2 linked regions of the Drosophila melanogaster genome follow. The protein of the gene in region 1 binds, or shares a complex with, the protein of each later gene. Each region holds a gene or a part of one and is shown on either strand. Other genes may lie near its edges.

Region 1 (5,345 bases):
AAGAATCCATCGGATTGCATGGCAGCCCACACCCCTTCCTTCTCATTCTTCAACGAGGAGTTTCAGCATGAGAAAATTCCACCACATCGAAATCAAAAACGAGTTGCACGGGGTTGGTATGAAAAACGTAAACAATTTCCTGATTCTTTAGGTACAGGCTTTTTTAAATGCATATACAAGATATAACGTATTTTAAGAACGAAGTTCAAGGTGATGATACTGTACACTTCTACATTTTAGATCAGAATACCTTTTATTTCTTTTTTTTTTTTACAGATAATTTGACCTTATATGAATAAATTGGCTAATAAATGGAAAAAATAATTGATGCATTCTCATTATTTTCGTTACATTCAAAGATGAGTCTATTTAATTTAAATAGCTTTAAAGAAGGTCTCACTTTCCAAGACACCTTTTTCAGATTTTTTATTTGATTTCTCATGCCTTAAAATGCATTGCATCAAAATGATATTTTTTATGAGATTAGGTAAGTCCCATATTTCCAGAACACAAACGCGAAAGATAGAAAACAATCAGATTTGGAATTTAGTCGGAGAGTGCTCGAAAGAGATTTCAGAAACACCTCTGGCTGTGTTGTGTGCAACGTGTATTGATTATATTTCGAATCGGATCTTAGCTAAGGTATATAATTTATAATAGTACGATAGAGTAGTTGTTACAAAGGAATAGCCTAGATGTTGCGCGCCTTGAGCACCTGCTTCTGTGGCGGACTGGGCACGTTCTCCTTGCCGGCGAACAGGACAGTCTTCTTGGGAGTGCTGGCCGCCGATCGTGGTGTTCGTGGGGTGTGGGGGGTGCGCGGACTGCGCGGGGTGTGCGGCGCCTTGGGTGTGCGGGGGGCGGGACGGGGCGAGGACTTGCCGGCGGACAGGAGCTCGTTGATCTCGCTGGTGGTATCCTGGCGCACGCACTTGTCCGAGGAGTTGAGCAGCCACGTGGTGATCTTCTCGCAGTCGGATCGCAGCTCCGAGTCGCACAGCAGATCCTCGATCTTCTCCAGATCGGTGGTATTGGAGCGGTTGGCCTTGCCAGGTGTTCCCAGCAGAGAGGCGGATCCCGGTTGCTTGGACTTGAGGGCAATGTTCTCCAGCTTGAGCTGTTCGCACTCCTCGCGCACCTTAACAAGCATCTGCTCCTTGTTGTCCAGCTCCAATTGGGCGAACTGCAGCACGGTGGCGAATTCATCGAGCGCCTTCTTCATGTCCACCATGTAGGCCTCGCGCGTCTCGTCCTTGCGGCGCAGCTCGTGGTAGTGGGCCAACTGGGCGTCGCCATCGATGCGCTCCTGGAACGAGTTTGCAATCTGATTGAATTTAGCCAACGTCTCCGCCTCGCCGGCTAGCAGCTCGTGGAGCAAGGACTCCTTCAACGATACCTCGCTCTGCAGCGTCTGGGAGGAGGATCTCAGTGCGTTGAGCGCATCCTGGCTCTCGGTCAATTGCTGGCGCAGTTGCTCTGCGTCCGCCTGCAACACCAGATAGCTCTGCTCCAGCGCTCCCTTGGCCAACTGCACCGATTCCAGCTCCGCTCGGTACTGCTCCACATCCGCATCGGACTTCTTTAGACGCTCCATCAGAATGTTGACGGTGGCCCGGGTGTTGGTCAAAGTCAGCTGGTAGTTGTACTTCTCGGTGATCGTCTTGGCCATGTCCTGCTTCAGCTGCACCAGCTGCTGCTGCAGTGCGTCGCTCAGCTGGATGTAGTAGTCGATGCCGTTGCGCAACTGCTCTTCGCATTTCTGCAGCTTCTCGTCGCGCATGCGCAGCATATCATTGGTGGTCTCCAGCAGCACCATCACGTCCTGCTTCTCCAGCTCGATCTTGATCAGCTCGTTCTCGGCCAGCTTCTGGCGCTTGTCCAGCTCGGCGCGCCAGTAGCTCTTCTCGCGCTCCACCGCGCTCTCTAGGTCGCTCTCAACCTGCTGCTGCACCTTGGCCACCGCCTGCTGCTGCTCGGTGTGGCGAGCCTGTTCCCGGCACAGCTGGCGAATGGTATCGCAGTGAGCATCGATCTCGCAGTTCTTGTCGAGAAGCTCGTCTTGCAGCGAGCGGATCAGAGTGCACTTGTTGGCCAAGTCATTCTTCAGGGTGTTGCGCTCCACCTTCAGACACTCCAGTTCCGCCTGGCAGCTCTTGGCCTCCTGTCCGTAGGACAGGGCATCCTGTTCGATCTGCTGCTTCAGCTGGACCACGTCGGCCAGCAGGGAGGCATTGGTCTTCTGGAGATTCTCTACCAGCTCAATGTTCTCGGCGGTCTTTGCCTGCTCCAGGCTGCAGTGCTCGCGGGCCTGAGCCACATCCGCCTGAAGAGCAGAGAGTTGTGCCTGCAGCTGCTCCTCCACCTTTTGACGATCCTCATTCGCTGTCTGCAGCAGCTCGTTGGCCAGACGCAGTGCCTCGCTCTCGGCAACCAACGCCTCCACTTGCCTTTCATGCTCGTCGTGCTGTTGCTGCAACTGCTGCTCCATGGCGGCCAAACGCTCCAAAAGATCAGCGTGCTCCTGGCCCATCTGCTCGTTCAGAGCTTTGTGCGATAAATTCTCACTGGTCAGGGCTTCGATGAGCCGATCTGTCTTGGAGGTAGCCAACTCATGCTCCTCGCGCAACTTGGCCTCGGCTTCCTTCAACTGATCCACATGGCGGCGCAGCACGTCCAGTTGGCTCAACTGGCTCTCGATCAGTTCGTTTTTGTGACGGATTTCGTACTGGAGTGCCTCCTTGCCCTTCAGACGGCTGGCTGACTTGGCCTCCTTTACGGGCGTGGTGGCTGCCGAATGCAGAGGAGTGGATGCCGCTGTTGAGGCGCCACTTCCGCTTCCGGTGGCCGTATCCGTGTGACTGGGAGTCGGACGGAAGCGTAGGCGCTGCGGCAACGAAGGAGTACGGAACAGACGTAATCCCTTTGACTTTTTGTCCTCCTTGGGAATGGCAAATTCCTTGGCCTCCTTCGAGCTGGACGCGAAACGCACGGCGTCCTTGAAGAACTTCTCGATCTGCTCCTTGCGTTCCGGTTGAACGGTTGGCGGAGCAGCGGCTGCCGAAGACGCGGTGGGCGTGGCACTGCCCGCCGATCCCGCCGAGCTGTTGGACGCAGCTGGCGAACCGCAGATGGCCACATCCACGTCGTTGAAACGCTTCAACTTGGCCTTGGAGAAAGACATTTTCGAATTTGTTTTTTGGACTTTCGGTTTAACTTGGTAACGATTCTTTTCGGATTTTGTATCAATGTCTCATTAACAACGCTCGTTTAACTTTCGATATAACAATAACTCAACGATCAAACATAAACACAACTTTAACTTTCGGTTTAATTTGGTTATCTTTTCCTTAGGATTTTTAGGTAAACTGTTTAACAATATGGTAGTAGTCTGTAGTCGTATTTAATTCATCTGTACTTTGTGGTCCGTTCTGTGCTACACTAAACCCGCTATCCCGTTGCTACCCGTTTCACTGTACCTACGCGTTCCGCTGTCAAAACCTAACTGAGCTCACCTTCTGTCCAAGATCCCTGAGGCAGACATAGCCTCCAGCTGGCACAGCGAGTGGAAAAGGGATGGATAGAGTGTGGAAACGAGATAGACCCAGGGGAGGCAAAGAAAACAACCCTCGCTCGAGCAGGGGTCGCTTCAACGATCCTGCATTGCTTCACCTATGTGGGATATACCCAACATTTCAGGTTGGGTATTTCCGAGATCTTCAAACGAAAAATGGTTTATGGTTTTCATTTCGTAGGACTTTCATTTTAATCTAATAACATTAACATTGAATATAATAATTAGTGGACATAGAAAATAATATCACGACAATTTTGGATTTTTTAGATATTAGCTGAACAAAAATTTCATATTCCTTAAACATTCTAATGTTAATTTAATATTAGACAAGTCATTTGCAGACGGCATAATTCTTCTGATCTTAACCACTTTTCAATTTAAATTAAACATATAATATTATATATTTTCTATAATGTCCTCTTTTAAGAGTATCTAGAATTCAGGTAAGCCGAGTTATACGACTCCTAATTTTTTTTTTATTTGGTGGTAGTTCGTGCCACAGTTCTTGATCCCCTGTTCGTCTTATCTGTGTGTTTGTCAAGACGTCGGCCTCGTGTATATAAAGGAAATGTTTTCATTTTAGCGCGCGCAAATGTTGCAATTGTAGTTCAAGACAGCACGAGGAGGGTTCGAGACCGGAGTGGGGGTAGCAAGATGGGTAGGGGTGGAGATAGGACGACGGGGTTCCGCATTCCCCGGCTTAAGTACATATGGGAAATGTGCCGTTGCCGACGAACAGAGACACACTCACTCACATCTGCCTGGGCTTCTCCTTTCCTTCGAGGACTACAAGTAAATGCGATTGCTTTCGAGAATTGCGAGACTACGAGTACAAGGATATGAGCTGATGGCTGGATGGACTGCCTCATCCGTTAGCTCCAACACAGCTGGCAGCCAGCATAATTCGTTAATTTGATACGAAATCCGATGCCCGCATAATTAAAGGAAAATGCGTCGGAAATGGGCGAGTTGCGCCTGCGCAATGAGTTGAATGGAATTGAGGCTAAATGAATTGCATGGAAAATGGAAATGCGTCGGGAAAATTGATTTTTCATGTGATATCGCTAGGCAGTTGGGCAATCGGCCATCTATAATCTGTATAGAGAACCCCCTCATGATATCCTGCTGATCCTGCGGTAGCTGCCTGTGCATCCTGTCATTTTTTCACTTCTTTTCTCCAGTGAGTTTGTCACAACTGCCAACTGAAATCAGCTGGTTGTTCCTTTGATGGCAAACAATGACCGGAAGATTCTAGCAACTGGGAGGTGATAATTCTAGGTTAAAGCAGACAAGCATGAAATTCTGGGTGGGTCAGCCACACACAGCTGTGCAAAAGAATTATAATGTAGAAAGACAATGTAGGGAGCCATAGGACAAGGGAAATCGTTTGGAAATCAATAGAATATTAATACTCAAGCATTACTTTTTAATTTATATTTATGCTTCACAACCTTTGTCAATTTATATAGTTCATGTACATAATATGTATGTATATAAGGTTACGAAACCATCCTTTGGTTTCATAGAGGTAATATTTTCCCATAAACATATTTGCATTTGATTTTCCCAAACTCTCTTATAATAAAAATGGAAATTTTACGAAAAAGGGTTTTCATTATTCGCTGATCCAATGATGTGCAGGACTCACAGTAATATTAATGATGTTAATGACATTTACCCTACGCCGCGACACCTTCAACATCATTTTCCCATGCCTGTCCATGCATAACTACCATTCATTGAACGCGCTATAAGGTAACGCGATCTAATG
Region 2 (4,600 bases), on another chromosome or scaffold:
CCAAAAAAAAAAAATAATATGTACCTGCTTCAGTTTCTCGGCCAATTCCAGGGAGTAGTCCACCTTAAACTTGGGGAACTTGACATGGACCTCTTCCACGGTCAACTTGTCGGCCAAATCCACCAGGTTCACAGTCTTGAGCTTCTCGGCTAGGGCGTAAATACCTGTCCGCTCCTGCGGCAGCAGCACGAACATGGAGAGGTCAGAGTCCTGGTAGGGCATCTCCAGGGCAGTGCAGCCCAGATCTTCGAAGAAGCCATAGTTGAACTTGGCCTTCTGGTTCATGTAGTTGATTTTAACCTGCTCCTCCTCGCCCACCCAGAAGATATCCTCCTCGGTGCGCTCCTCGCTGAACTTGTGCGCCCAGCTGCCCTTGAAGTGGAGGGCATTGAGCAGGACCAGCCTGGTGTTGTCCGAGAACGAGTCCGCGCTGACCAGCTCCGTAATCTTGCCCTGAGTCTTGGCATTCACCCAGGCATTGATGGCCTGGGCGGCGGCATCGTTGAGCGCAAAGTTAATGGACTCCGCCTCCGAATGATACTGCTCCTTGATGGCCGACTGGTAGGCGGGCTTCAGCTGCTTGCCCTCCTGCACGTACAGCTTGTTGGCAACGCGCAGCAGGTTACTGTTGCGGTACTTCTCCAGCACAAACTGGAACGTTTGGGCCACCTCCGGCGGAAAGTTGGAGACGAAGTGCAGTGCCTTGGCGATCTCGTCGGCGGTTTCACCCTGCGATCCGGCAAAGGCCAGGGCAATGCAAGTTTGGATGGAGAAGGGCGAGAAGACGACGTTCTCCTTGAGCCCGCCAGCGCTCAAAAGCTGAAAAAGTTCGCTGGTGAAACGGGCACCTCCACGCGCAAATTCCAAATTGAAATCGAACATATTGACGGACTGAACTGAGTAATTGTGGGTGTGCTGCGTAATCGCGGAACTGCGTGTGCTTGCTCTCTGGTCTGCTGTCTACACCGGAATGCCTTAAATGCCATTCGGGGCCACAACAAAAGTGAAAACATCGGCCAGCCGGCGAATGAGTCACAGCCAAAATATTATCAAAACAATCGAAGCGAATTGGTGGCGTCATCATTTTCATGATCTAGCAACCTTGGGGGCATCCCCGGGTTCATCCCAAAAATAAAAGTAATAGGGCGTTCTTTAAATAGCCACTGTTTTTCAGTTTTTGTTTGTCTGATGATAAAATTCTTAAAAATATGTTTTTATTTTTAATATTATTTTGCAGTGTGACCTTAAGCATTGGCGCCTAAAAACGCTGGCTTTCTGTCCAACAAATACTAAAATACACTTGAACAGGAAAACGCATGCTGTTGTTTGTTGTTTGTAATTCAATCAATAAGCCTGTTAGTTAAATATTTCGTAATTACAGATTTAAATAATTTCGAATTAATATTTATGCCCTTTTTAAAGTTATCAATTTCGATAGGCATAAAATACCAGATCGACTATTGTGCAGCCCTGGCGCTTCTGCGCGCGCGCTTTCCAACACCGCCGTACGCAACCACCCCGCTTCCCGCTCGCCTAAAAGCCATTATTTTTCGAGTTTCATCCGCAGCCACAGTGCAAAATAGGTTTATCAATTTAATTTAAGTGTTAAAGTAGTTCTAAAGTGTTTTTTAAGTTGCGCAAACGATCGAGGCCAGCCCGCATGAATGGATGTGCATGTGTCCATCGATCGAACGGAGTATTTGCATTCAGTTGTTGTGATTTTCCCGTGACCATTGCGTACGAAAATCGTTTTGGGAGCGCAAGAAGGTGAGTTGCGTCTGCAGATCGTTATGCCACTCTCGTTTCGGATGCGGACTGGGAATCGGAATGGGGTTACGGAACGGAATGGAAGGGAAGGGAACAGAATCCATGGATGTGTGGATCTGGGTCTAGGTCTTGTTCTTGGTCTTGGTTTGGGTCTGGGTCCTTGAACCCCTGCACGGAATGCACGAAACCTGAATTGCGCACTGCAGCTGCATTTTATCCGATTTCACCAAGAACACACAGAGGCATAAGGCAACCGGAGGGCCGTAAGAACCAGAAAAGTGCAACCAGGAGTGGTTGCTTGGCATCGGCAACGAATCAGTCGATTTGAACCCTTCTACCCGCCGCCTGTCACAATTTGATTTAGGCCGATGTCGTCGCTTCAGTTGCATTTCTATGTATATATATATATATATACGCATATATGTATGCACACACATATGTATGTATGTATATAGGTAGATACGTGTGCACCATGTCCATTTGCATTTCGCATTTATATGCCCCGCATGCAGTTGCAACTTGTTTACGCACAATCGCCGCACAAAGAAACACCTCCAGGGCCCTTTGTGCGGACAGGGAAAACATTGTTTGTGTCCGTCTCATCCATGTTCCTTTTCCTCCTTGCAGCTGCGGTCGCTGGTTCATACGGGAGTCCTAAAGGTTACAGCTCAAGAAAATGCAGCACAACGTTCATGCCGCCCGGCCAGCGCCCCACATCCGAGCTGCGCACCATCACAGCCACAGCCATGCCCACATGCATCTGCATCCCGGCATGGAGCAGCACCTGGGCCCCAGTCTTCAGCAGCAACAGCAGCCGCCACCGCCGCCCCAGCAGCCTCCACATCGCGACCTCCACGCACGGTAAGCCATCTATGTCGTTGACGCTATCAGGAATAACAATTAAACCAGATAATGCTTCATCCTTCAGTCAAATAAGAGTAGTATCAGTTTATTAAATTGTGATACCTTTTGGAGTTCGGTTCCAATTTAGCAGTTCTAACTATGTTTGGAGTTAAACAAGATGGTACGCCTTGTTGGTTCAGTTTGTTTTCGGAAATGGTTATCATCCCCTTCATTCAATCGAAACTCCATGTAAACAAGAAGGGGTAACATGGGTTAAATAGGTTTTCCAAGTCTAGAAGAATTCCCATCTATCTATGTACAGGAAGGAACTTTTAGATAGGTGTGTTATTAATATGGGATAACATCTTATAGAGTTTCCTAATCTAGATCGAGATCTCAGTATAAATTGTTTAGGCAATAATGTACCACTAGCCACTGGTTGGATCTCATGGACTCAGTGTGAATCTCAGGTGAGGAAAATGTATCTCCCTGGCTTGGTTGGATCCTAGAGAGATTCCACATCGACTCGAAACGCCAGCTTGTCTGAGCTTTATGCGTTGCGGCAATTATGTTAATTCCTGTCACTGACAATTGGTGTGAGACTCATCATCCCATTTTCTCAACTCATAAATTATAATTTCAGTGGCTCTTTGTTCTTTCGCGCTCAGCATGACTTCCGCTCGATGATAACGGGTTTGCCCTGCCGACTGCGCTGCAATTATCCTTGACGTTCGCGAGTATCCTTCGGCTCGGCCTCCAGTAGTTCAGGCTCCTCGTATTGTCTACGATCATATGTTTCGCCAAACTCTCTGCAAACTGCTCATCCAGTTCCGCATTCAGTTGCGTTTTGCCTGCCGGTCGGATCGGGTCGCACATGAATTTATTACCGACGTTCGCTGATTCTAACGTACATTTGCGTACGATCTTTTAACGATCATGATAGACTTTCATCAGTGCCAAGTGAGAGGTGAAATATGCAAGAAGATTAAAGTTATAGAAACTGAAGCGGGATCTAATAAGTTCGCAAGACAATAAATTAAAGAACTCGTAAAGATAAGAGATGAGATTTTGCAAATGAAATCAAATCCTCTTAACCATATAACTTGCAAGTGAAAGGTACGAAAGGAATAAACTTCAGATATTACTACAGATTTGTATTAGCCTGAAATATGGATTATCACATTGCTCAGACTTGTTTTCAAAAAAGAGTGTCCATAAACATTAAGAGCATTCAATTAATTACCTTTCCCTTACGCAGGACATTTTTATCGCATATCAACTGATCCTAATCACAAATTGCCCATATCAATGTTAATTTGAAGGCTTGTTTCCGTACTGATTTAGCGATTATAAATTGCCAAAAATATTTCCTTGTCTTGTGAAATGTACGAGGCTGTAGGTAAAGGTCGCTAGAGTGCTCTCCTACCCTCGATCATTGGGAAAGGAAAGGTAGGGAGCGGTTGCAGGAGCAGGGTGTCGCAGTAGGTGCGTCTCAATTGAAACTGACAGTTGGCGAAAAATGACACGATGCGTAAGAGAATGCGGCTTTTGTGCTTTGTTAGGATTTTGTCCATTGTTCGGCGTGGTCGCTGTTGTCTGCTATTCCGCAGGAACAACAACATACGGCAGAGGGTTGGGGGGGGCCACGAAGCTTCTAGGACCTCTCTCGTTGGTGTTTTTGTTTTTCCCGTGCGCCAGTCGATGTACACTTTTGTCTCGATGGCCTCTATAATCCTCTTGGTGTGCATTGTTTGCTGATATAACCGCAGAAGCCAGCGCATCCGCCCCAGGAGCTCTTACTTGTGGCCATCGATTAACCAATTTGCTTGCTCTATCCTCCGTTTTGCAGTCTGAATCATCACCATCTCCACGCTCAGCAGCAGCAGCAGCAACAGACGTCGTCGAACCAAGCCGGCGCCGTCGCTGCGGCTGGGGCTGCCTATCACCACGGCAACATCAACAGCAACAGCGGCAGCAACATCTCCAGCAA

Evidence for each region. Proteins that work in one complex are often made in the same cells at the same time.
Region 2: the proteins of mira (region 1) and stau are in contact, whole or in part, in a crystal structure (PDB 5CFF), measured with the Drosophila melanogaster proteins. Residues at the interface, in NP_477292.1 of Drosophila melanogaster: Asn514, Tyr515, Leu517, Thr518, Asn521, Thr522, Ala524, Thr525, Ile528, Leu529, Arg532, Ser536, Asp539, Tyr543; in NP_476751.1 of Drosophila melanogaster: Tyr972, Pro973, Lys974, Asn976, His977, Asn978, Glu979, Phe980, Leu981, Ile983, Pro990, Pro991, Gln992, Ile993, Cys994, His995, Val997, Asn1011, Ile1015, Lys1018, Leu1019.

Annotation. Positions count from the first base shown.
Region 1 is NT_033777.3:19,931,493-19,936,837, forward strand, and holds mira (miranda), read right to left. Parts: upstream 3,507-5,345; 5' UTR 3,182-3,506; coding exon 692-3,181; 3' UTR 542-691; downstream 1-541.
Region 2 is NT_033778.4:18,122,722-18,127,321, reverse strand, and holds the start of stau (staufen), read left to right. Parts: upstream 1-1,542; 5' UTR 1,543-1,767; intron 1,768-2,394; 5' UTR 2,395-2,443; coding exon 2,444-2,628; intron 2,629-3,448; exon of another isoform or gene 3,449-3,577; intron 3,578-4,459; coding exon 4,460-4,600. Other genes in the region: Spn55B (serpin 55B), read right to left, coding at 25-882. UniProt on the Drosophila melanogaster protein: RNA-binding protein which forms ribonucleoprotein complexes (RNPs) that play critical roles in the localization, translational repression and turnover of RNAs during embryogenesis, neurotransmission and neurogenesis.